Drosophila melanogaster: one gene and its partners. The protein of the gene in region 2 purifies or fractionates together with the protein of the main gene of each other region. This does not show direct contact. Each region holds a gene or a part of one and is shown on either strand. Other genes may lie near its edges.

Region 1 (8,329 bases), on a different chromosome or scaffold from region 2:
TTTAAGAGTCGTTGTCATAGGCAAAGGAACTAAGGATGCAGGATGGTAATACGAACAAACAAATATATGACGACCATATATATTCCTTCTCGATAAGGACTCACCAAGCATAAATGATATGAAATCGCACTAATGTACCAAAAGACCAAACAACTCCCTAGGATACACAAATTTAAAAGATGAGCAAAGAACCCTTCAAGCAAAAAGTAAATTCCTGGTTGTTTTACAATTTGTCCAACTTTCCTATACTTCAAATATATTATCAATAATATTATTTTTTTTTTATACAAGCAATACAATTGAAAATGTTTAAGCGAATTCAAAGAAAGGTCATACATGTATGTATGTCCCTATTTTAATAAAGTGACGCTACTTGAATCTAAACGTTATCTATATAATATACATCTCAGCTTTCCCGGAATTTGTGTTTTGTGAAATCCGAAAGTAACCCTCATGAATTTCCTGGAAGTTCGCTGGGCTGATTAAAAAATATACGCTTGGCATTTCGCAAAGGGCGGAAGGGGAGGAAGGTGAGGTGGGCGGTGGACAGCACCACCACACCTCCTCGGCGGACACACGGGCGTGGGTGCATGGCCTGAGTCCCAGAAAAGAGCCGAAGCTGGGTACGTGTATTTGTGTATTTGTATTTTGCGCTTGTTTCGAAGACGAAGCGAGAGCAATCAAAAAGGGGCGGAGGATGGTGGATGGCGGTGGGTGGTGGGTGGAGGGGTAAAGGCTTGGGCGTTATTTGGTGGCCATAGATAGGACACACAAGTGGGTGGGTGCGCCGCTGCGGGATTTGTTTGCCATTCGAGCGTATCTGCTTTCTATACCCTTTCCAATTCCCGGCAAACTTCAAGGTCTGCTATTGACAATGTGATTAGCCGCTGAGAGTGGTTATTTTAGGCTGTGAGCTATGTACTATCACATTTAACAATAATTAAAATAGTAAATATAATGTTATGCTAATGATCGTAAGTACTGGCTAGTACTTAGATATTTCATTCTAAGCTTAACAAAATACCATTTTCCTAGTGGCAAACAGAACAGAAACTAACAGAAAGTAAAACAGAAGTATAAAATATAGTAATCATTTTATTTTAAAGGTTTTGAAGTGTTTCTGGAGTTCGGAAAACCACCTTTCAAAGATACTTGCATCAAGTCCGTAGCTTGGGGTTGGAATGGCGGCACACTTGTGCCTCAAATGTATATTTTTACGCTAGTTTTCTGCGCCTGATTAGCGAGTGGCCTGCGAAAAGGCGACGCACGCAAATAAAAACTGGATCGTGGAGCGTAATGGATAACTTATATTAAAAATAAAGCAAGATGACAGTGGTCCGATGATGTTGGGGCCGAAAGGGGCTGTGTTAATGGGCATTGTTGGTCTTGTGGGAGTGTAGGAGGTAGAATGGGGTGGTGGATTGGGGTGGGTTGCTCTGCCAGGTCAGACCCACGGAAAACGCATTTTCGCGACGGTCACGTATCGAATTCGAGTGGGTGGCCAAAGCCAAAAATTCAACCCAATTGGGCATGGTTTTTGTGAGTTTTTTGGAACGGCGAAGAGGAAGTGGATGAAGGCGCTGTGTGTATGTATACACAAATGCAAAGCGCGCCTTCCTGCGTGTGCCACATCGCCATAGCTTCACTCCACTCCACTGCTCCATTCCAATCCCCTCCAGATCCCAACTTCTGACTTGAACATTTTCGTGCACACAGAGCAGCAGTGTCAGTGGGTTTGGGGTTGGGTTGGGCATGGGTATGTGTGGCAGCTTTTCAGAGGTAGACAGACTACTACTGTAGTCTACCTACAGCCGAACCAAGTATCACATTCACATTGACGTCGGCGCCGCCTAGCAGCAACCGAAAACAGCAACAACCGCATTACGGGTAGTATAGTGCAGCCCAGCTCATTACAGTCGAGCATCATTAGAGCAAACCGGTGGCACCTTAACGTATGTACATATGTATGCCTAAGGTTGAACTTAATAATTTACAGGCTATTTCCGCACCACGATGCGTGTTTATGTTCATTACCAGTTCCCAAAACACCTAGTTTCTATGACCAATATCTTTTTAGACTATTTGCTAAATGCTTTTTCTAATTTGCGACACGAATAATTCAAATTGCGCTACTGGAACGTAGATCAATGGTGCTTCTGGTTCGAAGTAGAGTGGTTACACTGCCAGTTGATGTGGCAGGTTGTTTGAAGGTTCCACTGCCTGTTTATGTGGATGAGTCGGATGCTGGACGAAATCCGTTTTCGCTCCGCCCTCACAGTTGTTGTCATTGCGGTTCTTGTTGCTCAGGAAGTTTGACTAGGATTGCGGGATGGGGTGGCACTGTGGGAGGTTGGGTGGTTCGGTGGGTGGCTTCGCTTTCCACATGCCTTGACACAGCGCACACAGTGGTGCCCCTTACGGGTTCATTTTGTTGTTGTTTTGTGGTGGGCATGTGCTTAGCAGATCTGGTCGTCAGGTTTTAACTCTTAACTTGTTTGAAGGCCACGACAACGACTCTTGGCAACATAACCTCACTTTGTTGACAATAAATATACACACTTAGAGGTAACGTAACGCAAGATATGGATGCGGTTTCGAGGGAACAGGGTTTCTCTACTCACGTTGGTGTTTGTCGGCCAATTGCACGAGCGGATTGGGCAGATCCCGGCGGCGGTAGAAGCACATGACCTTCGCTTCCACATTGCCGGTTTGGTTTTTGTTCAGCTCCTCGATGCGTCGTATTAAGTAGGGACTGTTCGGCGTTGTCTCAACGTAAACATAGTCTGAAAAAAAAACAGTTTTTGAGGTGGCTGATGCAAAAGGGTCAGAAAAGGGCATGGAAGGGTGGGGGGCTGCAACTCCATTAATACGTCACAGGTAAGCGCACACATACACCTATACACGCATCCACCTAAGTGCGACCACCACTACCAGCTAAAGCGCAATTAAATACATATGGGTCTATCCATCCATATAACTTTATACCTACAACAACTGCAGCGGAACCTGTCGTTGACTATTATAAAAAATAAAAGAAATTCCGTTTATCTGTATGTACATACATACATAGATACAAACGTCGTGTGCACTTCTGCTACATTTTGGGATGCAGATACACAGATAGATGGGTAGATAGATGAAGAGAGATGAAAAAGAAAGTGTGGAGGCAGCGAGAAAGCATTGCCGAAGGTGTGTAACTGTGTGCGTGGCCATTAAAAACGGCTAACAAAAAACGCCGATGGAGACAAAAAGTTCTCGGCGATAAAGAGCAGATAATTCGACAAGTATATATGCCATTAATATTTATTTTGATTCCGTTAATTGAAAGCTTGCGTATCCGACCGAGCTTATTTGCATTTCGAAAGAGCACACACACCCACACACTTGCGAAAATCAGGTGAAGACAACACAATAACGTCACCGCTCGAGCGCGAGCGAGATGGCTAACAGAAAGTGCGTCAGGCAGGGTGAGGAGTGGGAGGCGTGAGATGGGGGGAGATGCTCAAAAGCTCATTAGCATATGAAAACACAAAAAGGCGGGTGGGCGGTGAGCCCAAAAGTGAGATACACTTTCGCACATAGTCAAACAAACACACACGCTGGAGAGATCACAATTCGGCAAAACCAAATCCAAATGCAAATGCAATTCAGTTCCCCAGCCCTAGAATACACACACACGCATACACTTAGGGCATAAGTTAATGCTTATCGGTTGGAACACGTCGAAAACACTTGCTGCAGCTGCGACACAAGAGCAGCAGGGGGCTCCTTCAAAGAAGTTAAAAAAAATAGAAAAGGTCTCTCCTTTTCGACGGATTGTTCTTGAGATTGATAATACACGCACACACACACACATACACGTGCGTCGGGTCTCCCACTAAAGGGTTTTCGGCAATTAAAATGCACTTTCGTTATTGTTGGAAAGCCTCCTCAGACACAACACACACGCATACGCACACATTGGACACACACACACATATGCAGAAGCGAACACGCACACCGTGAAACGGCGGCGCCGATAACGAAAGATGATAGAAAAGCGAGTACGCGAAAATTTTTCTCACCTCCGACTCGATACATATTTGTGGCCATTTTCACTACGCTACCGCACCAAAACTTTCACATGCAAAACACTCGGCACACGCTTAGCACTGTTTTTCAATGGTCCTGTTCCAAACTAGCGCACATTTATTAGCAGAAAACTCGAGTTGTTATGATTGCATTTTTCACATAAGAAGACGCGTTTTTTTCGTCGCCATCTTAGAAACAACTCAACTCTAAAAAATACACGCACACACACACAATGCCGAGTAAACAGCTGCACCAGGGATGCACTCCACGGTGCGATAGTTTGGCCATCGATAGCAATCGATACATGGGGTGTTGGGTAAAAACTTAATGTTAAAATTTAGTTGGGGCGATAAGAAAAACGATAAGGGGCTTTTCTAGGAATACGATTTATATTTATTTATATTATATATACTTCTTGAATAACAATATATATCATTAAGAAAATTAACTGAAAAAATTATGGGCGAACCTTGTTTTATTTATCATTTTCAAAACATATTTATTTTCACCCTTTTTTTCTCATATTAAAACATTCATTCAATCGCATGGGGCGCATGCGATAGTATCGCTTGAAAACTGTCTTCCCTAACATGCAACGTTTGCACTTAAAATTCTGTAATAGTTCGTAGTCTAGGTTTCTACGTTTTGTACGTTTGTATAAATTGTTTCCAGAGTGAGTGCTTTGATTTGAAGAGCCTCTTAAAGACTCATCTCGCGAATTTGTTTACTTTCGCGTGAGTATTTTGGCCGTCGCCAGCACGAAAGGTGTCACGACTCGCTGTCAATCCGTGACGTGGCCTGACCGACCGATTTTTCCAATTGGCAGAGGTCTAACAGAGGTTTTTCCGATTTAAGTATTACATTTAAGTGTTCCGGCGATGACCACCTACGAGGAGTTCATCCAGCAGAACGAGGACCGCGACGGAGTGCGGCTGACGTGGAATGTGTGGCCCTCAAGTCGCATCGAAGCCAGTCGGCTGGTGGTGCCCCTAGCTTGTCTTTACCAGCCTTTGAAGGAGCGCCCCGACCTACCGCCTATTCAATATGAGCCGGTCTTGTGCACTCGCAGCAACTGCAGGGCCATCCTGAATCCACTGTGCCAGGTGGACTACCGTGCTAAGTTGTGGGTGTGCAACTTCTGTTTTCAGCGCAATCCGGTGAGCTCAATGGTGATCTTTAGACTCTCTGCGGCAGTTTATGACAGTCATTATTCCAGTTTCCCCCTCAATATGCTGCCATTTCCGAGCAGCACCAACCAGCGGAGCTGATTCCGGGATTCAGCACTATTGAGTATACTATTACACGGGCCCCCACCATGCCGCCCGTCTTCATTTTCCTGGTTGACACCTGCATGGACGAGGAGGAGCTGGACGCCCTCAAGGATTCGTTGCAAATGTCGCTAAGTCTGCTGCCAACCAACGCTCTCGTGGGTCTGATAACCTTCGGAAAAATGATACAGGTGCACGAGCTGGGCGCGGAAGGCTGCTCTAAGAGCTATGTGTTTCGTGGTACCAAGGACCTGACTGCCAAGCAGGTGCAGGATATGCTCGGAATTGGGCGTGGAGCGGCTCCGGGGCCGCAGCAACAGCAGCACCTGCCCGGCCAGCCGGCTGGAGCGGCGGCCCCTGTGCCGCCCGCCCATCGCTTCTTGCAACCGATCGGCCAGTGCGACGCGGCGCTGGGCGATCTGCTTAGCGAGTTGCAACGCGATCCTTGGCCGGTGCCGCAGGGCAAGCGTTACCTGCGCTCCACTGGTGCCGCCCTATCTATTGCGGTGGGCCTGTTGGAGTGCACTTATCCCAATACGGGCGGTCGCATTATGACCTTCGTGGGTGGCCCTTGCTCCCAGGGCCCCGGCCAGGTGGTCGACGACGAGCTGAAGCACCCGATTCGTTCGCATCACGACATCCACAAGGACAACGTGCGGTTTATGAAGAAGGCTATCAAACACTATGATGCTTTGGCATTGCGGGCAGCCACCAACGGGCATAGTGTCGACATATACTCGTGTGCCCTGGACCAAACCGGACTGCTGGAGATGAAGCAGCTATGCAACTCCACTGGCGGCCACATGGTCATGGGCGATTCGTTCAACTCATCGCTCTTCAAGCAGACATTCCAACGCGTCTTCGCACGTGATGGTCGCAACGACTTGAAGATGGCCTTCAATGCCACGCTGGAGGTGAAGTGCTCGCGCGAGTTGAAGATCTCCGGTGGCATCGGCTCGTGTGTGTCGCTGAATGTGAAGAGCCCGTCGGTGTCGGATGTGGAGATCGGCATGGGCAACACGGTGCAGTGGAAGCTGTGCACATTGAATCCCAGCTCCACCGTAGCCTACTTCTTTGAGGTGGTCAACCAGCATGCAGCCCCCATTCCGCAGGGCGGGCGTGGCTGCATACAGTTCATTACGCAGTACCAGCACCCAAGTGGACAGCGGCGAATCCGAGTTACCACACTGGCCAGAAAGTATGTGTTGGCATAAATCAGCCCAGAGTTTACTTACGTGGTTCAATCTGTTTGTTTTTCAGTTGGGCCGATGCCACCTCGAACGTGCACCACATCAGCGCTGGCTTCGATCAGGAGGCCGCCGCAGTTCTGATGGCCCGTATGGTCGTCTATCGTGCGGAGACTGACGAAGGACCCGACATTCTGCGCTGGGTCGATCGTCAGTTGATTCGTCTGGTAAGTTTTCAATGTGCAAAATTACTCGTGCCCAATTAATTAGTATTGTAAATGCTTTCCTTTTACAGTGCCAAAAGTTCGGCGAGTACTCAAAGGACGATCCCAACAGCTTCAGGCTGTCGCAAAACTTCAGCCTATTCCCGCAATTCATGTACCACCTGCGCCGCTCGCAGTTCCTGCAGGTCTTCAACAACTCGCCCGACGAGACCACATTCTATCGACACATGCTAATGCGCGAGGACCTCACCCAATCGCTGATCATGATCCAGCCTATTCTCTACAGCTACTCGTTCAACGGCCCTCCAGAACCGGTCCTCCTCGATACGGCTTCCATCCAGGCGGATCGCATCCTCCTGATGGACACGTTCTTTCAGATTCTGATTTACCACGGCGAGACCATCGCCCAGTGGAGAGCCCTCAAATACCAGGACATGCCAGAGTACGAGAACTTCAAGCAGCTGCTGCAAGCACCGGTGGACGACGCGCAAGAGATTCTTCAGACGCGCTTCCCCATGCCTCGCTACATCGATACGGAGCACGGCGGATCCCAGGCCCGCTTCCTGCTGTCCAAGGTCAATCCCTCGCAGACGCACAACAACATGTACGCCTACGGGCAGGTGAGTCTCGCAGCCAGCGCCATCAACTGGCCACATTTGATTGATCTTTGCAGCGCTCCATTTGGCGTCATCGAAAATTTAATCTCAATCGAAATCTCAATCTCGTTTTATGTTGGTTTTGTTTCTCTCATTGTATAATCCGTACCCGTATCCGTAACCGCTCCTTTGTCAATCGCAGGCGCCCATCGGTCAAGTCACGGTAGTACATATTTGTTTAATTTTCAACTTTTAAACTGGTGGAAAGGTGGATATTTGAAATTTAAGGGGCGGGTAAAAAATCTTTGGAAATTGGATATGTCCTTTGCTCTTGATAGCTATAAGTCCAAAATAAGTGTTTTGGATTTTGCAATAAATCTAAGATGGCCAACCCCACACGGCTTAATCTAAGCAAAGATTTTGTCTGTTCCTATTTTTTCATATTGTTTTTAATAATTTCAAACATGATTTATATATAAGTGGCTTTTGGTGTTGGACCCTTCTAGGTGCTTGTATCCCTTTTTCATTCATCCTCCCCTCCCCACTTGGCACGATCCCACCCACCCATCGCATGACTAATTTTCCGGACATTATCTCGACAGGATGGCGGGGCTCCAGTGCTCACGGATGACGTTTCGCTGCAGCTGTTCATGGAGCACCTCAAGAAGCTGGCTGTGTCCACCACCACATAAATCGACTCTGGCTCTAGTTTCAGGCGCTTGCTTCCCTGGCGAAGTCGAAGAAGGCGAACGACACCTGGAATCAATGGTCCAGGCAATGAAATTACGAATATACAACCACTTATTCCAATTGATCGTCTTATAACGCAATAAACTATTCAAATTATGTTCAACAATAAGTGTGTTAATCCGCGATGCTTTTATTCGTAAGCAGCTGAATTAGAATTTACGTTGAGCGGAATGAGTTTGTAATTATAAAAACAAGGCATTAACAAAATGAAATGAGCATCTCTTTCATTCTTC
Region 2 (7,875 bases):
TGTCTCTTGGGTTGGTGGTAATTTTAATGTCGGTTTTTTGGATTTTATTTGCTGGTTTCTCAGCTATAAGAAACTATGCCAAAGTTAACTACGGATTACAATAATAATCACAAATGTTCAGGTGCGGTCAGCAAATTACCTCTAATGTTCTATACTGTGTGTTCAAAAGGCTTATTAACTGCTTATTTGTATATAAGAGTGTAAATCCGCTATAATTAACACACAAATGAAAACTAATCAGTTGCTATGTTAATAGGTAGCTACCTACACATTTCGATAAACCAAATTTTAAAATAATTAAAAAATTGTTGGGTATAGATATTTCTTTCTATGACCTATACTAAGTTATTTTTGTTTGCATGTGGGTGTAGATGTTTACTTATATTTTCATGCCACAGCATCCCTATGATTCATATTTTTAGGGTTTCTCTAATTAGTCATAACACCTCTGGTATTTGTATTCCTTTTGCGGATAAAAACTTAAAAACGCCACAATTTTAAATCGTGAATCACACATTGAATACTTTAAAGGATTTAAAAAAAAAAAAAAAAAAAAAAACATGGATATTAAGTACATTTTCTCTATCTAGAGTTGAGTTTCGGTTCGCTCTTTTACGACCGAGTACGCATCGACACAGAAATGTTTTGAAATTCTGTGCTAAAATCGTGACCTCCACTGTAAACAGTGGGCGCTGGCAATGTCGTTGGCAACAATTATGCACCTTGTTGGCAATGCCGAGCTTACAAGCTGTCGCATTGGCTTAGCGAGCGACTAATTGGCTAATTAGACAATAGTGAAGCGCAAAGAGAGCCGATTAAAATGATGATTTCGATTACATTCGCTAATGCGCTAAAACAGCAGGAACGACACAAATTTGCTGACACAATTACGCATGTTTTGGCAAATGGCACACATAGATTCGCGTGCCATTGTTTTATTTGTTTGTCTGTTTACACACCCAGAAAACATACATAAACCTATATTCGGTGACAATCGAGCACAAATTTGGTTTTGCTGTGGGCCGCAAACGGAGCCCGATAACAATTACAAAACTATTGAACCAATTAAGTTAAGGCTATTAAAAACAGCAAAAACAATTCTGCTTGTTTTTTTTTTTCAGAAACACAACAAGAATAAGAGGAAAATAGAGAGCGCAAGAGAGAAGCAGAAACGGAAACCACAATGGCGTCCGATGGCAAGCGAATTTTACGACGAAACGAAACGAAACAGCATTTGCCATATGACCATTTATGTTTCGGCATTTTCGCTGCGTAAACATTTCCATATGCAAATATTAATGACCTTCACTTTCACCTCATATGCTAAAAAAGCATTTAATTGCAGAGGGACTACAGGTATGCAAGGTGATCTGTGATCACAATCATTAACACATTGCCTATTTGCTACATACAAATATGCCCATCTGTAATTGAGCTTAGATAAACACATTTAAATTGGGCCAGTCAAAAACAAACAATTTTCGAAGAATGTCCAGAGATTTCATTTAAAATGTAACTGGAATGGTAACAATCGATTAATTTTCAATAGTTTGACAACCCTAAAACCATCTCTAATACACTCCCACACACGCGAAACGGAAAGATAGATAAAATTGATCAGTACAACAGGTGATAAGCTTCGATTAATTTTCACATTCCCATAATACTACATTGAATGCTTTAAAAATAAATGAACCCGTACACAATCCGGTACATGTGTATACGTTTGCGGTGGCGGTGACTTCCAAAAAAGAAAAAACGGCAACAAATGTACCATATCAATTGCTGCCTGAATTTTTGTGACAGTGTGCGAGAGTAATGTGTGTGCATTGGCGTAGGAATAATCTGAAACAAATAGCGGCCTTCTCTCCCAGCGACAACAAGACAATTACTGTAAATAGGTGAAATAACAAGACAACCAGCAGTTGCACAAATATTAAAAAGGCACACAGACTGACAGACCAACCAAAGGTATTACGGTAATCAATGTCAAACGCTGCCGATTTTGTGAGTATTTATGTGTGCGTCTCTGTATTCACTCCAGCCGAAAACAACAACACCTTCGCTTCGGAAGAGCGACACACACGCTCATATCAAACCGCTTGGAAAGAGAGAAAGGCACATAGAGCGGACTCGAACGATGCGCGTCAAATGTCAAAATCAAGAAGAACAACAAAAACCATTATCGAAGCGACCTAGTGTTGTTCTACTTGAGAGAGCGTTTTTTGAATAAAAATGAACGTATTTGAAAGCTAAAATAATATTTACTTTTCCTATTTATGTTTCATAGTTTTGTGGACTTTAAGCGCAAGTAAACTTTTTCGAAATGCCAGCACACACATACCATTTACCAATTATACAAGCATATATATTTATAAAGATATGTATATGTATATACATGGCGGATATAAAAAAGCACCACTTGTTGTTGACTTGATTGAATGCAGTGCGTGCGAGCGGGATGGCAAGTTGTGTTTCGCCAAAGCAAGGTAAGATCGTCACCAATACACCAGTAACTGCAGCTCACATACACACACAGTATACTTTCACTTCTTGTATTGAATTTTTGATTTTATTTGTGCTGGCGCCATGTTGTTGTTGTTAGACATGGGGTTTTAAGCAGATTTATGCAGTCGGCAACAGCGAAGCTTTTGATAAAAAAATGACAAGAATGCTCAGATTAACAACGAAAAAATCAAATTATTTGGATCTTTTGAAGATACAAAGTTGCGGTAATGAATGTCATTATTATTAATACATTTGATCGATATGTGCTTTAATTGCATGAAACATTGAAACGGTGTCAAATGCCATTGCGTATTTCTTGCTGTGTACGTAGGAAAAATGCATACGTCATTGCCGAAACCTTCTTATCCCTCTCACACCCTTTTATTGTTGCATTACTGCATAAATAGTGGCACTCATACATGTGCATCGTTTTAGCCTTTTGTAATTTATGCGATGTCGCATTACTCTTGATTGTTTACTTGTGGTAGAGTAATCGGAAATCGGATGGCAATGTTAAAGTAAACAATTTTAAAGACAGCATAGCGCAGCAAATCATAAAAATTATCACAGAACCGGCAAATGGTGAAATTAGGAAGAAGAAAAATGGGGAAGAACCAACGTTGGCTGACGTCACAAACGTGAGGGAAAAGACAGAGCGAATTAAGCATCCTCCTATCGATGTATCGAAGGATAACGGCAGCGAATCCAATTAGAATGAGCACCGAAGGACGGGGAGGGGAACGTGTTAAAATTAGACATTGAATTCTACTCCCACGCTATTTCTCTAGGATAACTTCCTCACGCACGCACACCGTATACATATACATACACACGCCCACAGTGCAACAGCGTCGAACGGAGAAGCAGAAGAGAGGCGAATGAGGGCAGGGACAGAAGAGAGAAGAGGCCTGTAGACAGAAGAGGAACAGCTGCGAACGAATTAACATAAATTGTATGCAAAATTGGGGTGGCTATGGATACTGCTGCTTTTTGTTACACAGCGGCGGCATATTGTTTATCAGTTTTCCTATGAACTACTACTACATTCCAGCAATTTCCTCGCGAGACGGGCACCTTCCCATCCCATCCCTTGGCATCGTCTCTTTTCCACACTCTACTTTTCTCCTTCTTCATCTTACTTGTGTGTTGGCATATTTTGATTAACTCGTTAAAAAGACTATACTTTAGTTGTTTTGCAGGCACTTCGGTAGGATTGCATTGGTAGCTATATTTTTGTTGTTGTTTTTAACTAAATTTAATTTAAACGCGTCGGGTTTCTGTGAGTTTTTTTTTATCATATACGTTGGAGCGACAGAGACGGGGCGACGGCGACGTTTGGCTGGAGCGCGCGTGCATAACACGCACACACACAGAGACGCAAGTACGCGAGAGAGTGGAGAAATCAATCAAGAGAGCACGTCGGCGAAGGGGGAGTGGAAAAAATCACATATGTATGTGCGTCAGTGGAAGTGCGACAAGATTTTCCACAATATTCCACGCATCTTTGTTTCGTTTCTTTAGATATATGCACATATTGCTTCGTTTTCTTTTTGCATTGCTTTCTTACACAATTTATAATATATATATGCATATTTTGTGGTAATTTCAGGTTTTTATTTTTTGCACACACTTTTCATCATTCTTTTTTCGCTTTTCCTTCAGTTGGATATATTACGCACTGGATTTGTGGCTTTACACTGGCAATCGGTAGGCGGTGGCGAGTAATGCACGTATTCCCCTTAATTAACAGTTTTCTCTACAATTAATAATGTAATCTCTTTAACAAAAACTCAGAAATCACGTCATGGCTGCCACGTCCAAGCAACAATGAATGTAAATGGTGGCAGATGAGGCCGTCTGGGCATTCTCGACTAGCTCCAAAAGGGGCACACTATTTTTCTGGTGATACCATTGCACAGCCGATGATAACACTGCATATACGGTAACACCACAATAAGTGTGAACTAAAATGAATTTTCCGTATATTACAATTGACACTTGACAATTCACAGGTAAAGTAAACATCTTAATTGCTAAAGAACTTAAGATAAAACTTAATTTTAAAGGATTTACAGAGTATTCCACTCAAAACTTTCGACCAAAACAACCATGTAAAACATATGTTTTGATGAGTGAGCAGGACGTCTATATATTGCCTGCATTCGCGAATGGAGGGAACACAAAAATGCAATAAAAAATATGTGTGGAATGGAGGAGGCGCAAAAGACCCCAAAAAAACGCGCCACACATGTACAAATTTCACCAATTGCTGTAATACAAATAGTTTATAACGAGGTACAGCAATGACAATGACCAATTAGGATAATAGGCAACAATAAACAATGGGAGGGGGACGCAGCACGCTGCGCGGCTTTGCGGCTCTTGAACATGACCACGGTTCTTAGCCTGACCGAGCGACGGTCGGACCGAGTTTTTTTCACGCCGACATTTGGCCGACTGAAACAATGCACTTACCCTGGAAATTATCGTCATTCTCTTCCTCCGATGCCATTGTAGCACTCGAATGCAACTTTTACACTGTTTGAGCACACGAAATTGTCTTAATTTCCACAACAAATAATTAAGCACACACAGACACGACGAGAAAAAAATAGTCAATTGTAAGCGGCTTCAACAAATATGGCGGAGCGGAGAGCGACAAAAAGTGAGAGAACTAGGGTTGCACCCCGATAAAAGAAAGCGAAACGGTCACACTGGCGACATGACAACCCTGACTTTTATGTTTTTTTAACGACCCTGTCCTAACGTGTTTCGGAGAATTTTTCACCAAAGACCAAAAACCTTGTGTATTGTTTTTGAATTGCAAATCGCTGATTTAAGCTCAAGGAATGTGCCAAGCAGTTGGTAAATAACATTTACTTTTTAGTCCGACCCATTTAATTGCGAATTATGTCGTCCATTATCACGCGCAAGGATGGCGACGACCAGAAATTGTCCAAAAAGCGCGCTGCCGCCTCAGATTCCAAAAGTGGTGGTGGAAGCGCCCTTGAAGCGCCCAAGAAATCCCGCTTCGATGTCCCGGAAAAGAATGGCGGCGGTGGTGAGAAGAAAGAAGAGGTCGCCGTGCCCGCCTCGCTGAGTTCCACGCAGATCAAGCTGATGATGGCCCATGCCCAGCGGGAGATCGAGGAACGCAAGCGGGCCCTGAGTAATCTAAGAGACAAGGATCCGCTGCTGGCGTCAGTTCCATCGATCGGAATGCCAGTTGCCTTAGCCACTCAAGCGCTGGCGAAGAAGCCCACGCCCGAGGACTCGGAGAAGGCCAGGAAGATTGCCGAGTTGCAGGCACAGATCAGGGCCAAGCTTACTGGCAATTTGGCTAGTTTGATTCAGCCCACTGCGGTAGCGGCCGCCGCTGCAGCTGCTGCTCAAGCGCAGGAGCGACCCAAACCCCTGATTCTGGACGATGAAGGACGCACTGTGGACAAGAGCGGACGTACCATTAATATTCCCACGGTGACACCTACATTGAAAGCCAACATACGCGCCAAGAAACGGGAGGTGTTCCAACGCCAAACGGGTTTGGGTGAACGGAGTGAATCGGGCACTTCGGCCCAGGAAGAAGCTATTAAGTACTTTGACGACCGCATAGCCCTGAAGCCCACTGTTAGAACCAAGAGGACGTTGAGATTCCACGAGCCCGGAAAGTTCCAGCAGCTGGCCGAACGAATGCGCATGAAAAGCCAGCTGGAGCGACTACAGAATGAGATTTCGCAAATAGCCCGGAAAACGGGCATCTCGTCGGCCACCAAACTGGCATTGATTGCCCCCAAGCAGGACATGCCGGACGATGTGCCTGCCATGGAGTGGTGGGACTCAGTTATACTGACCCAGGATCTGGAGACGGTAGACGACGCAAGCGGTAAGATAAGCATACGCCAAACAGCCATAACCAACCTTATAGAGCATCCCACACAAATGAAGCCGCCAAGTAAGTTGAAAGCTAGAACATGTCCCACAAGCAACTAACCACCTACTCCTTCAGATGAGCCCTTGAAACCAGTGTATCTGCCGGTTTTCCTCACAAAGAAAGAGCGCAAAAAGCTTCGTCGCCAGAACCGTCGCGAGGCCTGGAAGGAGGAGCAGGAGAAGATCCGACTGGGTTTGGTGGCCCCACCAGAGCCGAAACTGCGCATATCCAACCTGATGCGTGTGCTTGGCTCGGAGGCCGTACAAGATCCGACCAAAATGGAGCAGCATGTGCGCGACCAGATGGCCAAGCGGCAGAAGGCGCACGAAGATGCCAACAATGCGCGCAAGCTGACCAGCGAGCAGAAGAGCGAAAAGAAGCAGCGCAAGCTGAGGGAAGACACCAGCTGCGGTGTACATGTCAGCGTCTATCGCATACGAGATCTGCAGGACAACCAGAGCAAGAAATTCAAGGTGGAGACCAATGCCAAGCAGCTGCAGATGACCGGCAGCGTGGTGTTGTTCCGGGATTGCTGTGTGGTTGTCGTGGAGGGTGGGCCCAAGCAGCAGAAAAAGTATCGCAGGCTCATGCTAACGCGCATTAAGTGGGAGGAGGACAACGCCAAGGGCAATGACGGCCAGGACGTGCCGAACTCATGCGTACTCGTCTGGGAGGGGACTAGTCAGCGACGGCACTTTGGCGAGATCAAGTTTAAGATCTTTCCAATGGAAAAAATGGCCCGTGAGTTTTTTCAGAAGCACCAGGTCGAACACTACTGGGATCTGGCCTACTCCGGAGCCGTGCTTGAGGCCTCCACGGATCAGCAGTAGATAAAAGGCATTTTAAGAATTGCTAGATACACTACAGTTCTACAAATTCACTTTCGGAAAGATACAAGTCTGAATTAAAGTTTTGAAGCGCGCTACGCATTTGATGTTATTATTTTCGAAGCTATTCGGAACTTTGGAAGTGCAAAAATAACGAATAAAAGTTTTATCTGGACTCTAAATATTTGTAGTAATCATTTTTTAAGTGGTGGTTGTTGTTCAAATAGATCTGGGATTTATATTAGTATGATTTATTCTCAACCAACTACTGCCTCTTTACATAGGGATCCTCCCGGATGTTCGATTGTATAAACTCCTCTGGTCCTTGCTTCTTTAGCTTCTCGATTATTTCCTCCAAACGCTGATCTTCTAGAGCGGTCTCGGCTTTCTCGCGTAGATCTAGTTCGTGCTGCTCCTTCACCCGCTTCGTGAGCACGCCTTTGACTAGTTCTCTCAGGGACTTGTTAATGGCCAGGGTGTAATCCAGCAGCTTTACATAGGTGGCTGGACTGAGATATCCGCACTGCTGGCACTGGGCGATCTGTTCAAAGGTATCCATGCTGGCGGTAATGATCAGGCCGTGCTCCTGGGCGGATGATGGGCTGGTTG
Region 3 (8,502 bases), about 15 Mb from region 2:
TCAACATGTGTAATAAATATATTTCCACCGCCACCCTTCCAAAATGCGTGACTGTATGGACGAATGTACATAGATTTATGTCCATTCGATTATGACGTTAATAAATATGGGTTAATACATAAAAAAACTTATAAGCAATGCAAGGCATTTTTAAACAATAATTTCATTGGAAATAAATATCACATTTTTCAATGATAAAATTTGTCGCTCTCGAATTAATTTCTTATATTAAATATCAATTGTTTTTATGCTTGGCATTTCCCCGCTATTCAAAAGTAGTGTTTAGTAATAAAACAAATATTTTGTAAAATAGCTCATAAAATAGCAAAAATTTTCCGCATGCGGCAGGTAATAAATTGGAATTTTCCACCTTTGTGCGATGACTTGGCAAAGTTCGTAACACAAACATATTCGAAATGCACGCGCCGCGAAGTATGCAATGAAAAATGTGGTGAAACAACAATGTTAATACGACTGCCAAAGGAGCCCCGAAAGGGGGCGTGGCAGATCGAGGGGCTAAGGAAGTGTGTCAGTGTCAGTGCGATGGATGAAAGTGCAAGTTTTGCTTATTGTTTGCAATGCTGCCACTGCCTCCAGTGCCTCGAGTAACCTTCGGCCAAGAACAATAAAACTGCTGGAAAATGAAACTGAAATGCGTCCCATGCAAATGTGAAATGGAAAAGTATGAAAAGCTAAAGCTAAAATAAAATTTTAAATGCTTTTTTCCATACCCCATGGCAGAGAGTTGAATAGTTTTGTAATCAACTCAGTGTCACAAAATTCCTTTTGTTTGCTATACTGATTTTTATTTTATTTTTTGATTTCATCTCTTTTAGTTTGTATTTTAATTGATATATTCGTTTGAATTACTCATTAATTTCTGGCTAGGATATTTAGCAATCCTATCTGCAACCTTTTTTGCTAACTTCCTTCACTGGGAGGCGACAGCGATGCATTGACATGGCCAACACATTTGCACTTGACTGAAACGCGTTGGCCGTCTGCCTTGTTGTCGATTTTCGGCTGATGCTGGCGATGCCACGCCCCTTGAGAATAGGAAAATAGGGGGGGCTGCCATAGAAAGTCCCGTGAAGTGACTGGCGGGTTTCGTGTTACCAAGACACCATTCGGGCTCCTGACGTGGCGCCTTTTGTTGGCCGGAGCCTTGGGGTCGGGCTTATGGGGCAGCAAAATGGATTTTCGACGGTTTCCGCCATACGGAATGCAATACAGGAGATGCACACACAAGGCGTGCACTTAGAGAAAAGGGAATATTCAAATGATTATTAAAATACATTTTTAGTTGCTTAATAGACAGCTTGATTAAAGAAGTTACCTCTATAAATGTGCTTTATAACTCTACTCTTACATTAAAGCAACTTTTATTTCGTGATTTATACTAATTAATTGTGTACGAACGCATCTTTGCCTCTTATTTTGCATATCAAGTCGAAATAAAAAATAAAATCATAAATCATATAGTCCCTTAGATGTTCTATGTGCACACCTTCATGTCAGTTTAGTGCATTTATTAACAACACAAAGTGCCAAATCACGACAGTTGCCAAAATCTCGTAAAAGACAAAAAAAAACTGAAATAAACTTTTGCCAGCTGAAAATGCAGCTTGAATAACCGTCATCCCCCCCCCTCGCTATCCACTCTGTCTATCTTTCAAAGCCTTTAAATAATTATAAAACTTTATCTCTTCTCTGGACACACGCAAACATGAACCCCTACACTATCGTCCATGTCCATTGAACGTCACTTTGACTAAAGCCAAATAGAATTAAACCCTGAAAAATATTTGATCTAAATTCCTGAATTCCCACCCCGCCGCCACCGCCACCGCCCACCGTTTTTTCCGGACACGCCACACACCAAATCCAGCATCCCATCCAACCTCCTGATGCCATTTTCATGCCCAATCTCCCCCAGAAAGCGCAGCAGCGGCAGCCGCAGGAACACAAATCCCGCCACAAAGCGACCGATGACACAGAGGCTCCAAAGCAGCAGCAGCAGCAGCAGCAGCAGCAGCAGTCCTTTGATGTAGCCACAAATGCCAATGGGTCCTCTCTGCCAGCGAGTCGGGTGAAAAATCCGGAGGAGCCGGGAGGAAAATCCCCATTGGTGCCGATGCGACAGCATCACTCGAAAGTGACGCGCCCACCCCCGCCGCCGACGCTTTTCCTGGAAAACTCACTGCTGCAGCGCCAGTTCGCGAATCCAATTAGTTACTTGGGTGGACCGCGTCTGCAGCCGCGCAGTAATCGCACCAGCATCGACTCGATATTATCGCTGGATTAGCACCGCAGCCAGTTTCCAGTTCTCCGCCCACTGCAATCCGTGGAAAACCTCGCCGACTAGTCACAAACTGTCAACTGGTGGGCGGGAAAACCCCCAGTGGATCCTTTTCTCCCCCCCAAATGCCACAATCTCCTCAACTTAGAAACTCAAAGTTAAAATCTTAAAAATTGTTAGCTAGTCCTAGTTAAAATACAAATAAATTGTTACAAATTATCGTTTAGTTTGTTACTAAGAAACCTAAATGTGGAAACGTAAGTATTTTGCTAAAAATGGGAAATCGAATACTTCCAAAAGAAAATATTTAAAAGATAGCAGCTCAATTAATTTTCCATTAAAATTAAAATCAATAAATGTATAAATATTTTTATTTGATTAAATTAGTTTCTGCGTTATTCGCCACATTGGATCGCTTGTAAGTATGCATTCACTTTTTGCTTAGCTATACACTTTCGATCTTAAAATAAATTGTGTTTCCGCCCACTGATTACTGATTTATCCCCCTTTGGGAATATTCCCACTGAAAAAAAGGAGCCGATCGCAGTGGGACCTTGTGTAGGGGCGTGTAGAAAAAGCCCTGGACATGGCTACGGGGCGTGTTGGTGAAGGGGGGCGCGGGAATGAGACGACACTAGGTGAAATCCGGTGGCTTGTACTTCGGCGGTCGCTTAATTGGCTTCTATAACCAATTGCGGCCGCCACGTCAAATGTTGTTCTCCTTGGCGCCCTTGGCCCCGGCACCGGAACCTGATCCCGAACCGGATCCGGCATTAGCTGTCGCTCCGGCATCATTATCGCTCTTGTTGTTACTGTTGTTGTTGCTATTGGTATTAGACGCCGTCGATTCCTCGCCATCAGCTCCGTCGCCTGAAAACAGCATAATGGTTTAGTTAGTAGGGTTTAAATACAAATTACAAGTGGTCAGTAGAACCAATTAAAATGACTAATGGTTAATCACTCACCCTTTTCCTTTTCGTCCTTGATCTCGCTGGACGTCTCTGAGGATGCCTTGTTGCTGTTGGTGTCCTTGTCGAGACGCGGCCGCTTCCGCTGACCCTTGTACGAACGGTTATCCCTGCGACCGCCTTCGCCCTCATCCTCCGAATCGGAGTACTCGTTCTCGGGCACAATGCGCTTGTCCTTGTCGCTCTGCGGCAGGCGATCATCCTTGTCGACCTTGTCCTCGTCGTCGGACTCATCGTTGATGGCATCCTCGGGAATCGCTTGGATTTGAACGCCCGGAGCGTGAGGCAGCATGCGCAGGTTCTCGAACAGACGGTTCTTGATCTTCTCCAGGTACTCGGATGTATTCTGATTCGTCATATTGCTGGGACTAATGTGCAGCTTAAAATCGGGCCCAAAGTACTCGAAGTAATCGTTGTAGGGCAGTTCGTTGGCTATCTCCACGGCCAGTGCAACGGAGGTCTCATAGGTCCAGCAGCGGGATACATTACGAATGGTATAACCACCACCGCCGACCATCAGGAATGGCAGGTTATATTTCTTCACGAACTCCACGCACTTGCCGTGACCCTTGACGGTGAGATTGAAGCAGCCTAACCGATCGCCAGTCAGCGAATCGGCGCCACACTGCAACACCACGGCTGCCGGCTGGAATGTTTCCATCACCTTGCTGATAATGGGCACAAATATGCTCTCGTACGCATCATCATCCATGCCATCACGCAGGGGTATATTCACCGCATAGTACTTTCCCTTGCCGGCGCCAATGTCTCGCAGATCGCCAGTGCCCGGGAAATACTCTCCGTACTTGTGGAAGCTGACAGTCATCACACGATCGGTGGTATAGAACGCCTCCTCCACGCCATCGCCGTGATGGACGTCTATATCTATGTAGAGAACACGCTGATGGTATTTAAGCAGTTCCAGAATTCCCAGAACAATGTCGTTGACGTAGCAGAAGCCCGAGGCTTCCGATTTTTTGGCGTGATGCAGCCCACCGCCCCAATTGATGCAGATCTCCGAGGCTTGCTTATTCAGTTTTACGGCCGCAGCTACGGATCCTCCGGCGGAGAGTTGGCAAAACTCGTATAGTCCATCGAAGACGGGACAATCTTCGCCGACATTGAAACGCTGCATCTGCTTGTTGTACTCCGACATGTTGTCCGGCCGAATGGATCGCAAGAACCGGACGTACTCGTCCGAGTGGAACTTGGTCATCTCATCGGCAGTGGCTTTATGGGGACGCTAGAATAGAGAAATTCGCGTTTAAATCTATCATATATATATATATATCTATCATCACATATTAATAAAGTAACTCACGTATATTTCCATTTTTCGATAGAGCCCATAGTTGAGCAGCAGGTTGTGGGTCATGCGTATGCGATGGGGCTTCATGGGATGACCCTGGCCATAGTAGTAGTTGCCAATGTCGCCTATGGATCAAAAATCGCAATTATGAGCACGTTGAAAAAGTAATTATTTGCCACGCTATGTGGAATACAAATTTTAAGGCCACTGTCGGCGAGGCGTCTGCCTGAGAGCAGCACTTTTTCCGAACGACCGCAGTAGTAGCACTTTCGCCCCGAACGAAAAAGCAACAAAAACACACAGAAGAGGAAGATAGACATCAGGTACATACACACACAAACGCATACAAACGCACTGCGGTCGTATGGAAAAAGTGCGCTGTGGACCGGAACGCGCTCGTACAGTCGCCGTAAAACTTGAAATTTGCAAAAATGCTATCATCTGATGCTAAGTGGATGCGGAAAAAACACAAAGTCGACATGGTAACCCTAGCTGGCACTTTGTAAACACAAATTACCCATCTAGTAGGCCTTTTACTTCCATTTAAATGCTCAAAACTTACTGTCGTAGTAGTAACAAACGCGCTTTTTGCTGTGAGACTGCATTTTGCGGTGCTGTTGGCGGGTCTTAAATCCCCTTAAAGTCGATGTTTTTCTATCCTTCGTCGATCGGATGAACTTGCGAGCTCAGAAGATGGTTTACTTTGGTGCCGGTCCGATTTTTGGCACTTTGGCGCAACTATATAGCCAAAATCGGAGCGCACAAGACAAATTCGCGAAGAGGAAACCTCTGCAGATGGGCAGTGTGACCGCGGACTTTTTTAAATCCACACTTCCCGGCTCTGCAGAATATACTTTTAATACTAACTGCATGAATACCGAAAATACCAAACAAATATATTTAATTATTTATTAAAGAAATATATTTAATAAATTTACATATGAAATACGATTACCCTCTTCATACAGAGTGGTCATTTTTTATTAGATATATAAACAATCAGACCTATGTACTTATCAAAAATTATCAAATATCACGACATATTTTTTGGAAAAATAGCAAGGATCAATTATAAGTTTATAAAGCAAAGTTTATTGGCTAAGATCACGTTGCAGAGTCTGAAGCTGGAACTAGAGATGTTGTTGGAAAACATTTAAGTTTAAGCATTCGAATAAACTAATTGATTTCAATATTTTCTATACAAATATAAATGATTCATTATAATTTAAGAAAAACAAAAACACAGAAGTAATAGGTTGTAGTCCGGGGTAAATAATGTTAAGTCGATTAATCGATAGGAATCCATGCTAATATCGAACTTGGCCCATCGCCAGAGGGTGCATTCCCTCTCTCTCTTTCAGAGCATCACCCATCTCGCTCTAAAATCCACCGCAGTTTCCCACGATTTTCCTTCTCACTCTAAAATTCACCGTTGAACGACTCGGACGCGATTTTCCAGCGCGGGTGATTTTCCTCCTCGGTCGGCGTTTTTCGGCGGCTTCTTATCGACAAACAATAGTGCTCAAGTACAACGAGATTTTGTAGTGTTTTGGAGTTGCTGAATTAGAGGCGATTGTTAATTGAATAAAATTAATAAAACGGCGACGCGTAAGTTTCCAACTCCCCCATGTGCAAGTGTGCGTGTGTGCCCTGTGTGTGTGTGTGAAAAAAGAGAAAGAAGAATGGAGTTGCAGTGGAAACACAAACACGCTCTCTCGCTCCATCTCCCTCGCACGCACACACTCACTGGGCGAATGAAGAAGTGGAAAAATTAAAACCGAAGTAAAGTGACAAAGCGAAGTGGCCAATAATGCAAGAAAAAACATATGAAACCCGCAGTGAACATTTAAAACAAAATTAACATTTTTCATAGGCGGCTAAAATATCCTGCGCAGCTTTTCTCTTTCCGACTTTTCTCTTTTTCCCTTAAGAGTCTTTTCCTATGCCTTTCCCCCTCGGAGACCAACGCCTCTCCTTCGCAACTTTCTGTTACTTTATGTTAACTTCTCCCCTTCTTTCTCTTGGTTTTCCTCCTGTATTTTTCTCTGTTGTTGTTGCTGTGCCCGCAGGATATTTAAGACCTTTTTTTGCTGGCGTTTAATTATAGTTTTCATTGCTCTCTCTCCTTCCCGCATCTCTTTTTCCAATTAGCGTCGAAGTTCGGCGTAAAGTAAACAGCAAAAATATAGTATTTGTTGTTTTTATTTGGCCCGCAGACCGTGCAGTAAAAACAACAACTTTAACAGGCGTAACTGTAAAGTCCGCTTTGCTTTTGATAGCAAATAAAGAGAATCGGAATCCGCAGCAAAGTTTTGATTTATTCTAATTAAAAAAGGTAAGTGCGATATAAAACCGGATTATAGCTCCTTTTCATTCGCACCTCCTTGGCCCGAAGTGCCGTTAGGAAGAGAAGCCAATGAACGCAAATAAGTAAACACAAAAACTAAAAAAAAGAGTGCTAGATTTGCTCTCCCGCTGCATTTCTATTTATGCTTCTGTGGCTGATAATGTGTACAGTGAAAAGTCGAAAGATGAAAAAATAATGAAGAAATGGAATAAAGCTTAACTTAAGGAATCTTAAGACTTGTTGTTTGTTATATTTCGACACATACTAACCATTTCTTCAGGCTTCTTTGCGCTTAAAAAAATACCCAATTGGAGTAAATTTGAAAAAAAAAAAACATTTCAAGCTTTATGATAATTTGGTTCTAAAAATTTATTTGCAACCACTAAATTGTGTTTGGTTCACTTTATCGACGGTCTACCGTATTTAGTTATTGCTCCGGCTGCTGTAAAAAGTCAAAGAGCATTTGTTGTTGCTGCTATTGTAATTGCTTCCAATTTGTGGAGAGCCATTGGATGACGAGTGAATGGGGTTGGGGAAGGGAGATGGAAAGAAGAAGCTCAAGAGCAGCAGGCGTCGGCGCAGCAGCTGCTCCTTCTCTCTCTCTTCCTCTCGCTCTTTCCATCTGGTTTATCCCTTGTGCGCTATTTTCGGCATTTTGTGCTTATTTATTTACCTTTTGGTGGCTTGTTTATTAACCCCTCCTCTTCCCTTCTACTCTAAATCGCTCCATGTGCTTTGAAGTTCAAGCCACAAAATTTGTTTTTATTATTTTTTTTATTTGTTCGTTTCTTTTTTTTTGTACATTTGTAGCTTATCTGTTGCAGTAAAGTTTCACCCTCACTCCAAAAATTTAAACCCCTTCAATTAACATTGCTGCCGTCTGTTTTCTGTTTTTGCTACTTCTTTCCTTTTTCCCTCAGTTGTCTTTCCTTTTTTCTCCTTTTACTTTTTGTGGCCAGCCGCTGATAAAGACCGCAAATAGTTTGTCTTTGCTTCACATTTTTTGTGTACAGTGGCTATCGCTTAAAGGTAACTAAAAACGAAACAGGAAACTTAATTTCAGGAAGTGCAGAGAAATTCCAGTCCTGAGAGCGTTACTTCGTCAGAACTCGATTTGATTCTTTAAGATTAATTAAGGTGTATTGATACTCGAATTTGGTGAGCTCATTTAAACACCTTAATATAAATATGTGTGTGTACGTATCCGAATCACAAATCTTATCTGATTGTGACCTTTATGTTGGCCGTTGAAAATCATAGCCGTTTATCACTGTACAGATTTATGGCCGCTTCTTCTGGAGTCTGTTGCTCTTTAACCCTTAATTGGTGAGTGGGGGTTTTCAATGGAGATCCATTTGAGTGCAACTGGGCAATTATGCTGTTTGGCCGCTGTCCGCTCCTAAGCCCCATTCCCTTCGCCCTCCATTTTAGTGCCCCCTCGTCTTTGACCCCCTGCTAAATCATTGCAAAATGGCAATCGCAAAATGCTCTCAAACAAGTAAATCTGCTTAGCTCGACTAACGGCAAACTTGTTGAGATCTTTTCATTTCTCTATTTTGCTCGCAGTTCGCTCGCTGTT
Region 4 (7,881 bases), 9.2 Mb from region 2:
TGTGGAAAATTCGGTTTTGCCAAAGGTTGGGCTAAGGTTGAAAGTATGGAAAATCCAAATAAACGAATTCCTTTGACTCGCCCACCATCTGACCTTTTCACTCCGCTGGGGGATTTTTATTAAAATTCTTAGACTTATTGCTAAAGTATTTACAAGAATTCCATGATTTATTGTTTAAGTTATTGGCAAAGGCATAAATTCTTTGTACATAGCACATTTGTACATTTTAGTAGCAATATCTTTGAGTTTACTTAGAAAGACAAAGAGTATGATGTTCTTGGCATCGATAGGTGACCGAATCTTCCCTGGCTTTAGCTGTTATCGTAATCGCCATCACAATCGCTCTTGAATCGCTTGCGAACTTTGATTCATTGTTCTCGGTGTTTGTTGTTGCTGTTGCTGTTGCAGCTGGGCTTTTGTTTTACTTGTCAACAGAGAGTTTAGTTTGGTGCATCGGCTTTGGCTTAGGTACTGCAGAAACCCCAACCCCTTCGCCGCCCTGGCAGCAATCACCCTCGAGCCCTTGCCCACCCTCTGCCCATCCAAACAAAAACAACAATGCTGCGGACGCTGCATGCAACTATTGAGGCATGAACATGCAATTTATGTACCTCTGTATGTGCGTATATGTATGTATATACCTACGAACTATGAAATACAACAACAGCAGCAATAAGCGACTGTACTTTTGATATAAAATCCACTATACTCCACACTCAACACTCTCCATACATGGAAAACCAAACCAAACCAAACACACATACAGTTCAGATGTGTACGTATGTATGTATATAGCACCGAAAATACTCCCCATCACCTACCGCCCACCACCCACCGCCCACTTTTAGAGACACCCACTTGGAGTGGAAAGCTCTGTTTAGTTTTAGTTGCGCTTTAAACTGCATTTCGGCTTGCGATGCCTTGTTGTTGCAAGCTGTACATAGAGCATTGCATGAGTGGCGACAGGGGGGTGTGGCGGTGGGCTGTGTTACTTGTGCAGCAAACGAAATAGAAAACAACTGCAATATGTTTGCTTCCCCGGAATGCAGGAATGGAATAGCCAGAAACACAGCTCCACTTGCAATGCATTCGGCAGATTGAGCCCAAAAAACAGATATTACACCCGAAACATGCCCAATCGCCAACCAATTGCAGTTGTCATCTAAAAATTGCAACTTTTACAGAAGCCTATCTATAAGCATTGGGTGGTAACAACTTTGAAATGGGACTGGCTTGAATCAAAAGTTTCCATGAGCATGGAACAACCAGAAGAAATCGATTAGAAAACGGGCAGTTCTTAAATTTATGTGGGACTTAAACAAATAGTTAACTTTATGCTATTCTAGCATTTGCCACAAACTAACCTATCCTAACTATCATAACTTTACAATGATGTACATTGAAAAGAAACCATGTTAAAGTTATACCGTTTTGGTATAATATTTTATATTTATCATTAGCTCCCTTTTTGTGTGTGCTCTTAAGCATAAGAAGTACTTCCTGAACTTTTGACCTCTTTAAGCGAAATTAGATGAAAATTTCAGATATCGATAACAAGTGCCAGGGGGGGTGGGGAGAGGGAAATGAAGTGAAAAGGGGAAGGAGAAACGAGGAAGAGGAAGAGCGCAGCGATACTGCAAAGCCGTCGACTTTTGTTGCTCCACTTGCACAAACAAAAACGCACGAAAAGACGAAAAGAGAATTTCGGCTATCGAGCAAGCTCCCCTAAACTCACACACACAAACACAGACACTGGCAAACTCACCTGCAAACTCAGGTAAATCGACACGCGTGTGTGTGTGTGTGTGCGCGGGTGAGTGGTACCTGTGTGGAGCTGACACGGCAACAAACAAAGGTAACGCTAAAATCTACAGCGATAAATCTAGAAACCGGGCATTCTAGTTCCCAACCTACCAGATATATTTTAACTCTTTCGATTCACTTTTTCCATGGCTAATTGGTTGGAGCTACTAATTATCAATTAATTACATTCGCATTTTATAGATATGTATATTTTATTTTGTTCTACAAATGTGTAAGACTTATTATTTGCATTCTATTTGATTTTGCCTCATTGAAATTTATAGAAGTTCAAAATTCTTATCAATCATTGATTTTACGATAATACTTGGCAAAGATAAGAATTCGCATAGCTAAAAACTCATTTTCTTGAAATAAATCTTATTACAAATTGAATTACCGATGGTTTAATAGTTTGGAAATAGGTTCAGCGAACTTTTAACTCCTCTTAACTTTCGGATTTCACCTGATCCGCTGTGAACTAGTTCAGATATAGCCACCCCTCCCCCACCCACAGAGAAACCAAAACAACAACAATTGCAATTACAGCAACACCAACTAAACTATTGCAACAAGCAAGAACAACAAAAACTACTAGAAATGCGGGTCTGGGTCGTAAAATCGAGACCAAAAGCAGAGAGCAAAGGAGCGGAGAGAGGAGGAAAGGCGAAGAGAAGTGCAAAGCGGTGGCAGAGGAGGATGGGGAGACTCGACGAGACGTCGAGAATGCAGTGCACATAAAGAATGCCAAAATAAGTTTAAAACTAACGACGAACCGGGTTTTAGTGCGTGCGTCTGTATGCGAGTGTGTTTGTGTGTGGGAGCGAGACAGCCAGCAAGGTGGTTTTTTGTATGGCTGTGTATTTGTATTTTGGAGCATGCAACATTGCCGAAAAATGCGTGCGCTGCGGGATGGTTGAGAAAGAGAGAGGGGGGAACCCCAAAAATGAGAGAACCGAATGGGAGAGAGAGTTTGCGAAACAAGTGCATTTCTGCATGAGTGTATGTGTGCGGGGGGTAATTTTCGAGAAATTAACAAGTGTTGCAAAGCTCAAAAAGTGCGTGCGGGTAATTAGCAAGTATAAATATGTAAAACAGAATCAAATACAAAACGAATGGGAAAAAGTTCATTAACACAGTTAACATAAAAGACCGCCAACAAATCTCATTCATAAGCGAGAAATGTGTGTATAGATAACGGGAACGGAAAGAAAAACGAACAGCGGCGACAACCCCTTCCGAATACAAAAAGGAAAAACCGCGGCAACCCAGTCGAGCGACACAGGAAAAAAAGTAGCAGCTGAGACAAGCTCCTAAGCATGGCGTCCCAACAACAACAGATAAAAGCTGTAAAAATTGTCAATATAGAAGAAAGAAAGGCAGGCTGGCTAGCAGCAGCAACAACAATAACAGGAGGGGGGGGGCAGAAGAAGAAGCAGCAGGCTTTGGAGCTTTGCGAAATAATGCGCGAGAGTTAAAGAAGAAGCCGCCAACGCCAACTGCGACGTCGGCAGAGCATTTTTAACGAGCCGAATGACAAGCGCACACAAACAGAAACACCAACACACACAACGGCACTTATGCAGATGCATACAGTCGAGGGCGAAACCATAGCAGTAAGATCAGAGCGTAAACATTGAGAAAATTAATAAATTCAAATTAAAAATGTGTGTTAAATATTACCTTAAAAAACTATTGAAGTGTTTGGCGTTTAGTAGTAATTCATATTACTTTCATTGTTTTGATAACAATACATATAAGTATTTAATTCTAGTGCCAATCATTAAGCTATTGTACATTTTATAGTTTGTTTTGTAAGACAGTTTTAACAACCAACTTTTGGGTTTTATGACTTTTCTTAATTGCCACTATTGCATTGACCTCGATTGTTCAAACACACAACCACACGCACACAAGGAGGCGCACAGATGGGCGACATGCATACGAGACGCCGCAGCAGCAGACCGGTTGAGGTTAAATTGGATAGTGGCAGTGAGAGAGAGAGCGGGGCGAACGAGAGAGAGCGATTGGAGATGGAGCATACATATACATATTGAATTTTTCCTCTTTGGCGTAATGAAAATTTTAGCACTGTTTTGGGGCAAGAAAACGGGGGAAAAAAACAAGAAAACTTACCCGCGTGTGAAAATCCGTTAGTCGGTGGCGCCTCTGCCGCTGCGCTGCTGCTGCGGAACTCCTCTCGATTTTTCCAATTTCGCATGCACAAAACTATTTGGATTTCACTTAATTAATTACACTGCTTATGTACCACCTTATATATGCACTTATGCGTTGGTATGTATGTATATACGCCTCACCAACACACTTGCAGCCCGCGCTCTGCTGACGTCGACGCCGCTGCCTTTTTGCGGCTACTTTTCGAAATATTTTACACGCACTGCAGAATATACTTTGTTTTATATAAATATTTTTGTTTGTCTTTTACTTTGCTGTAAACTTTATACGCAATTTGTTTACTATTTCAAAGAGAGAGTGAAACACACAAAGACATAGACACACACGTACACACACACAGATAGGCCGCTTTAAGCATTCGTGTGCGGCATTTTATTAATCCACGTCGATTTGTTTGTAAATAGATAACGATACGATATTGTATTGTATCCGCCGAATCCACAGATAACGACTCGATTTAATTTCAATTGTGCTTTTTCGCCGCTCCGCTCACGCACACTACCTCACACACACAGACGAGACCGCGTAGCACGTCCGAACGATCCGAGAGATGAAAAAGTAAAAAAGTGTTTGTTTTGTTTTCCTTCCTAGCGATGGCACGCGCATCGATGTTGGCTCGATACTTTCGCTGGCGCTTGGGATTATATACTTGCGCTGTTTTTTCTCTTCGGCGCTGGTACGGTCATACCGCGAATTGTACTCTCTGAGATTCGAGTTCGAAAGTACGTTTAGCATATGCAGCAACCAACTAAGAGATAAAATTCGAAATCAAGTTTTTGGCGGGGTTTATTGATATAGAAAATAGACTTCGAATTCTATATCAAAACTACGTTAATCAGCGAAAATTGTAAGTTAAACAAAAAACTATTGAAACTATTGATTATACACAGCGATTTTATATTTCAAAATATCAAACTTGATGGTAAAAGATAAGATTTAAGGTTTTTAAACCTTATTGAATTGCACAAAGTTTTCCGACTGATGCTTGATGTACGATTTGCGACAGTCCATTTCATCAGCAGGACGATTGTGTGGAGCCCAGACAGGTTCGCCCACAAAATAGCGACGAGTTCTGATAAAGTTCTAAGAAAAAACAATACAAATAGTTTAAGTTTGTATATAAGATTGTCAAAATAACTTACATTGGTATCCAAAGTAAAGCGGTGATATATGCCAGCTGGTATAATGATCAGATCTCCCTTGACAACCTTAATGCGCAACCAGTTGTCCTCATTGCTATAAAGAATAAATAGTTTTCCGTTTTAAAACAATTCCAAAAATGTTATTAGTGTGAGCAAAAACAATATCAGTAAGAATATGAATGCTTGAACTATTTAATTGGGAAAATGTGGCTGGGATACTATAAAATGCGGTGTAAATAAACAAAACTTACTCGCGAACATCAAAGTAACCGGATCCCTCCAATATCAGGCGAATTTCCTCATCCGTGTGCAGGTGTTCGGTGAAAAAGGCTTTCAACTTGTTGGCATAGTCTGGAAGGCACTTTTCCGAGCATGTGATCTGTAATAATTCGAAGTTTACCAAAGTTCGGTAGATGTTTTTCAAGAAAACATCGATCTTGCCTCATCATCGTAGGTGTAGCCACGTTTTGCCCTCAGTTCCGTGAGGGTATTATCGCTCTGGTACTCGTCCGCATTGATCTGCAAATGTGAATGATCAAGATAAGCTCGCCCCCAAGGTCACTTAAGGTTTTTAAAGTCGCAATTTCGCTTTTCACTTGCCTTAAAGTATTCCACGCCGGTCTTCTGGTACAGATCATCCAGTTCCAAGTAGGCAGGCGGATTGCGGTGGTGCTCCAGGCGCTGATCGGTTTCCTCCGTATCCATATACCAAACCTGCACCATTTTGGACTGTTTTAAACGGGTTTTCACGAGCAACGAGCAACAAATAGATTAAACAAGAAAAATTCAACTGGCATCAGCTGTTCGTTTTCGAATTTTCGAAATCGATAACAGACACTCAGGCGAATGCCGCTAGTGCTGTTAACTTAACATTCGAAAATGAATGCTGTTAGTTTTGTGTTCGAAATACTGCTATTTTAAAAACTTCATTTTTGAAATGTTCGATTTAAAACGTAAAATAACCATAATTTTAATAACCTTCAAAAGGAGTTATTTTTCTATTTTTTTTTTGTTCCATTATTACTCTTTATTATTTTACGATAGATATACGATTTTTGGGCAGTTTGTTGTATGTTTTGACTTTAATTGAATTTGTAGCGTGCAATTTTGCCTTTCGTTACTATTATCTAGTTTAATTTGTGTAGACATCTGACAGTTTGGTACTAACAATCTTTTAGTACGCGAAAATGCTAGGTTTCTGGTTTTATGTTACATTTATTGGCGTTACAAAGGAGCACAGGATTACGCAGTCAGTTTGGACAGTTCCTCGCGCAGCTCGGCCGTGTCAATGGCTCCCTTCGCTTGCGATTGCGGCTGGGCTTGGGCTTGGGCTTGGGATTGGGCCAGGAGGCGGGCACAGTTCTTCTTGTGCATGAACCAATGCAGCCGCTGGCATTCGCGATCGCAATACTGCACCGCCTTGCACTTGGAGCACTTCTTGTCCGGTTTCTCGGCGCCGCAGGTGCTGCAGTAGTTGCCCTCGTCCTGAAAATTAGTTTTCCAGATTAGAAAAGAATCATTTGATTATGAGATCATGATACCCACCGTAATCCACCTCATCCCATTGATGGCATTTCGCAGGACAGTCAGTGCTGGTGGGGCATCCTTGGCGCCAAATTGCGTTGCGATTTGCCGGAAGATGGTGCACTCTCTCACGGGAAACTCCCTGGCACATTCGCGCAACGTGTATTCCACATAGTCCAGCTGGCCCAGCTTGTTCTCCTTGAGCACCCGCTTCACAAACATCTCGATGAAATCGTTCTTGTTCGCATCGCCCGCCTCCTCGCCACTTTTCTCCTTGTGCTGCGCCTTGAATTGCTCCTCGCAGCGTATTAGTTCGGCCAAAATCCAGCCCTGATAATGGAACTTGAAGGCCAGCAGCTCGTTGAGGTCATGCGACTTCTGCATCTCCTTTTCGCACATCAAAGCCAGCGTCTTGCGCAGACTGGACAGGATCCTAAGCAATCCCAAGGACTGCACATTCAGGGCAATCCTCACGGGATGCAGGTTGATTTCGGTGACAAAGGCGTGGAACGATTTGAGTAAGCTGGGTGGTATATGCGGCTCCGTCTGCTGGCCATGCACTTGGGTGTAGTACTCCAAACTCGACTGGGTCACATAGTTGTTGATGGTCTCCACGCAGGCGTGGTTGCCCACAAAGGCGGCCATTTGGGCGGCGGTCCTGTTGACACTATTGATGCTACCCGGCTTGATGCCAGCATCCAAAAGAAGCCGGCACACATGTGTATTGCCCGATAGAGCGGCGAAATGCAGTGGCGTATAATCAGCTCCATGCTGATTGAGGTTTATGTCGGCACCCTGTGGAAGAAAAGGCGGTTATTTCATGTTTAGAGCCCAAGCGGTGGTTGCCTGGCAGATGTACCCACCATGTCCAGGAGCAGCTGCACCGCCTCGCGGTTTCCCTTGAAGCTGGCGTGGGCCAAACACGACATCCCGGTGTCGTCCACGAAATTAACATTCCTCACTCCGCTCAGCAGCTGCTTGAATCCACTGGTGTCATTCTTGGCCAGATGATCCAGCAACTGGCGCTGCACGTCGTCCAGCTGTACGATCTTCTTGCTTTCCTCGGTCATTGTGATTCGATTGTTTGTTTTTGTTGGATTTTTCAAGTGCTCTTCGGAATATGGAAATCAAGAAACTCCACTGTTTTCGGCGTGCTTACAGCGATACTGTCACAGTTTCACAACACTGTCCGGCGGTTGGCGTGCGATATATCGTTACG

What was found.
Region 1: the proteins of Mi-2 (region 2) and MTA1-like fractionate together in Drosophila melanogaster (co-fractionation; 3 studies listed by BioGRID, with this or other methods). This does not show direct contact.
Region 3: the proteins of Mi-2 (region 2) and HDAC1 purify together in Drosophila melanogaster (affinity purification with western blotting; 5 studies listed by BioGRID, with this or other methods). This does not show direct contact.
Region 4: the proteins of Mi-2 (region 2) and simj purify together in Drosophila melanogaster (affinity purification with western blotting; 5 studies listed by BioGRID, with this or other methods). This does not show direct contact.

What each region holds. Positions count from the first base shown.
Region 1 is NT_033777.3:5,644,433-5,652,761, forward strand, and holds the start of MTA1-like (metastasis associated 1-like), read right to left. Parts: upstream 4,307-8,329; 5' UTR 4,093-4,306; coding exon 4,065-4,092; intron 3,479-4,064; exon of another isoform or gene 2,839-3,478; coding exon of another isoform or gene 2,784-2,838; coding exon 2,622-2,783; intron 1-2,621. Other genes in the region: Sec23 (secretory 23), read left to right, coding at 4,950-5,228, 5,288-6,537, 6,600-6,753, 6,822-7,370, 7,549-7,572, 7,949-8,038.
Region 2 is NT_037436.4:19,905,060-19,912,934, forward strand, and holds the start of Mi-2 (Mi-2), read right to left. Parts: upstream 5,157-7,875; 5' UTR 5,021-5,156; coding exon 4,984-5,020; exon of another isoform or gene 4,575-4,983; intron 4,521-4,574; exon of another isoform or gene 4,139-4,520; intron 1-4,138. Other genes in the region: Prp3 (precursor RNA processing 3), read left to right, coding at 5,419-6,460, 6,515-7,269; Mtr3, read right to left, coding at 7,532-7,875. UniProt on the Drosophila melanogaster protein: ATP-dependent chromatin-remodeling factor which acts in nucleosome-remodeling by catalyzing ATP-dependent nucleosome mobilization. Involved in regulating transcription. Plays a vital role in development.
Region 3 is NT_037436.4:4,623,619-4,632,120, reverse strand, and holds HDAC1 (histone deacetylase 1), read right to left. Parts: upstream 5,388-8,502; 5' UTR 5,182-5,387; coding exon 5,139-5,181; intron 4,702-5,138; coding exon 4,589-4,701; intron 4,511-4,588; coding exon 3,265-4,510; intron 3,170-3,264; coding exon 3,006-3,169; 3' UTR 2,654-3,005; downstream 1-2,653. Other genes in the region: axo (axotactin), read left to right, coding at 1,889-2,305. UniProt on the Drosophila melanogaster protein: Catalyzes the deacetylation of lysine residues on the N-terminal part of the core histones (H2A, H2B, H3 and H4).
Region 4 is NT_037436.4:10,661,426-10,669,306, reverse strand, and holds the start of simj (simjang), read right to left. Parts: upstream 4,569-7,881; 5' UTR 3,937-4,568; intron 1-3,936. Other genes in the region: Adi1 (acireductone dioxygenase 1), read right to left, coding at 4,942-5,079, 5,139-5,232, 5,390-5,517, 5,580-5,657, 5,739-5,861; CG8003 (uncharacterized protein), read right to left, coding at 6,381-6,623, 6,684-7,457, 7,526-7,732.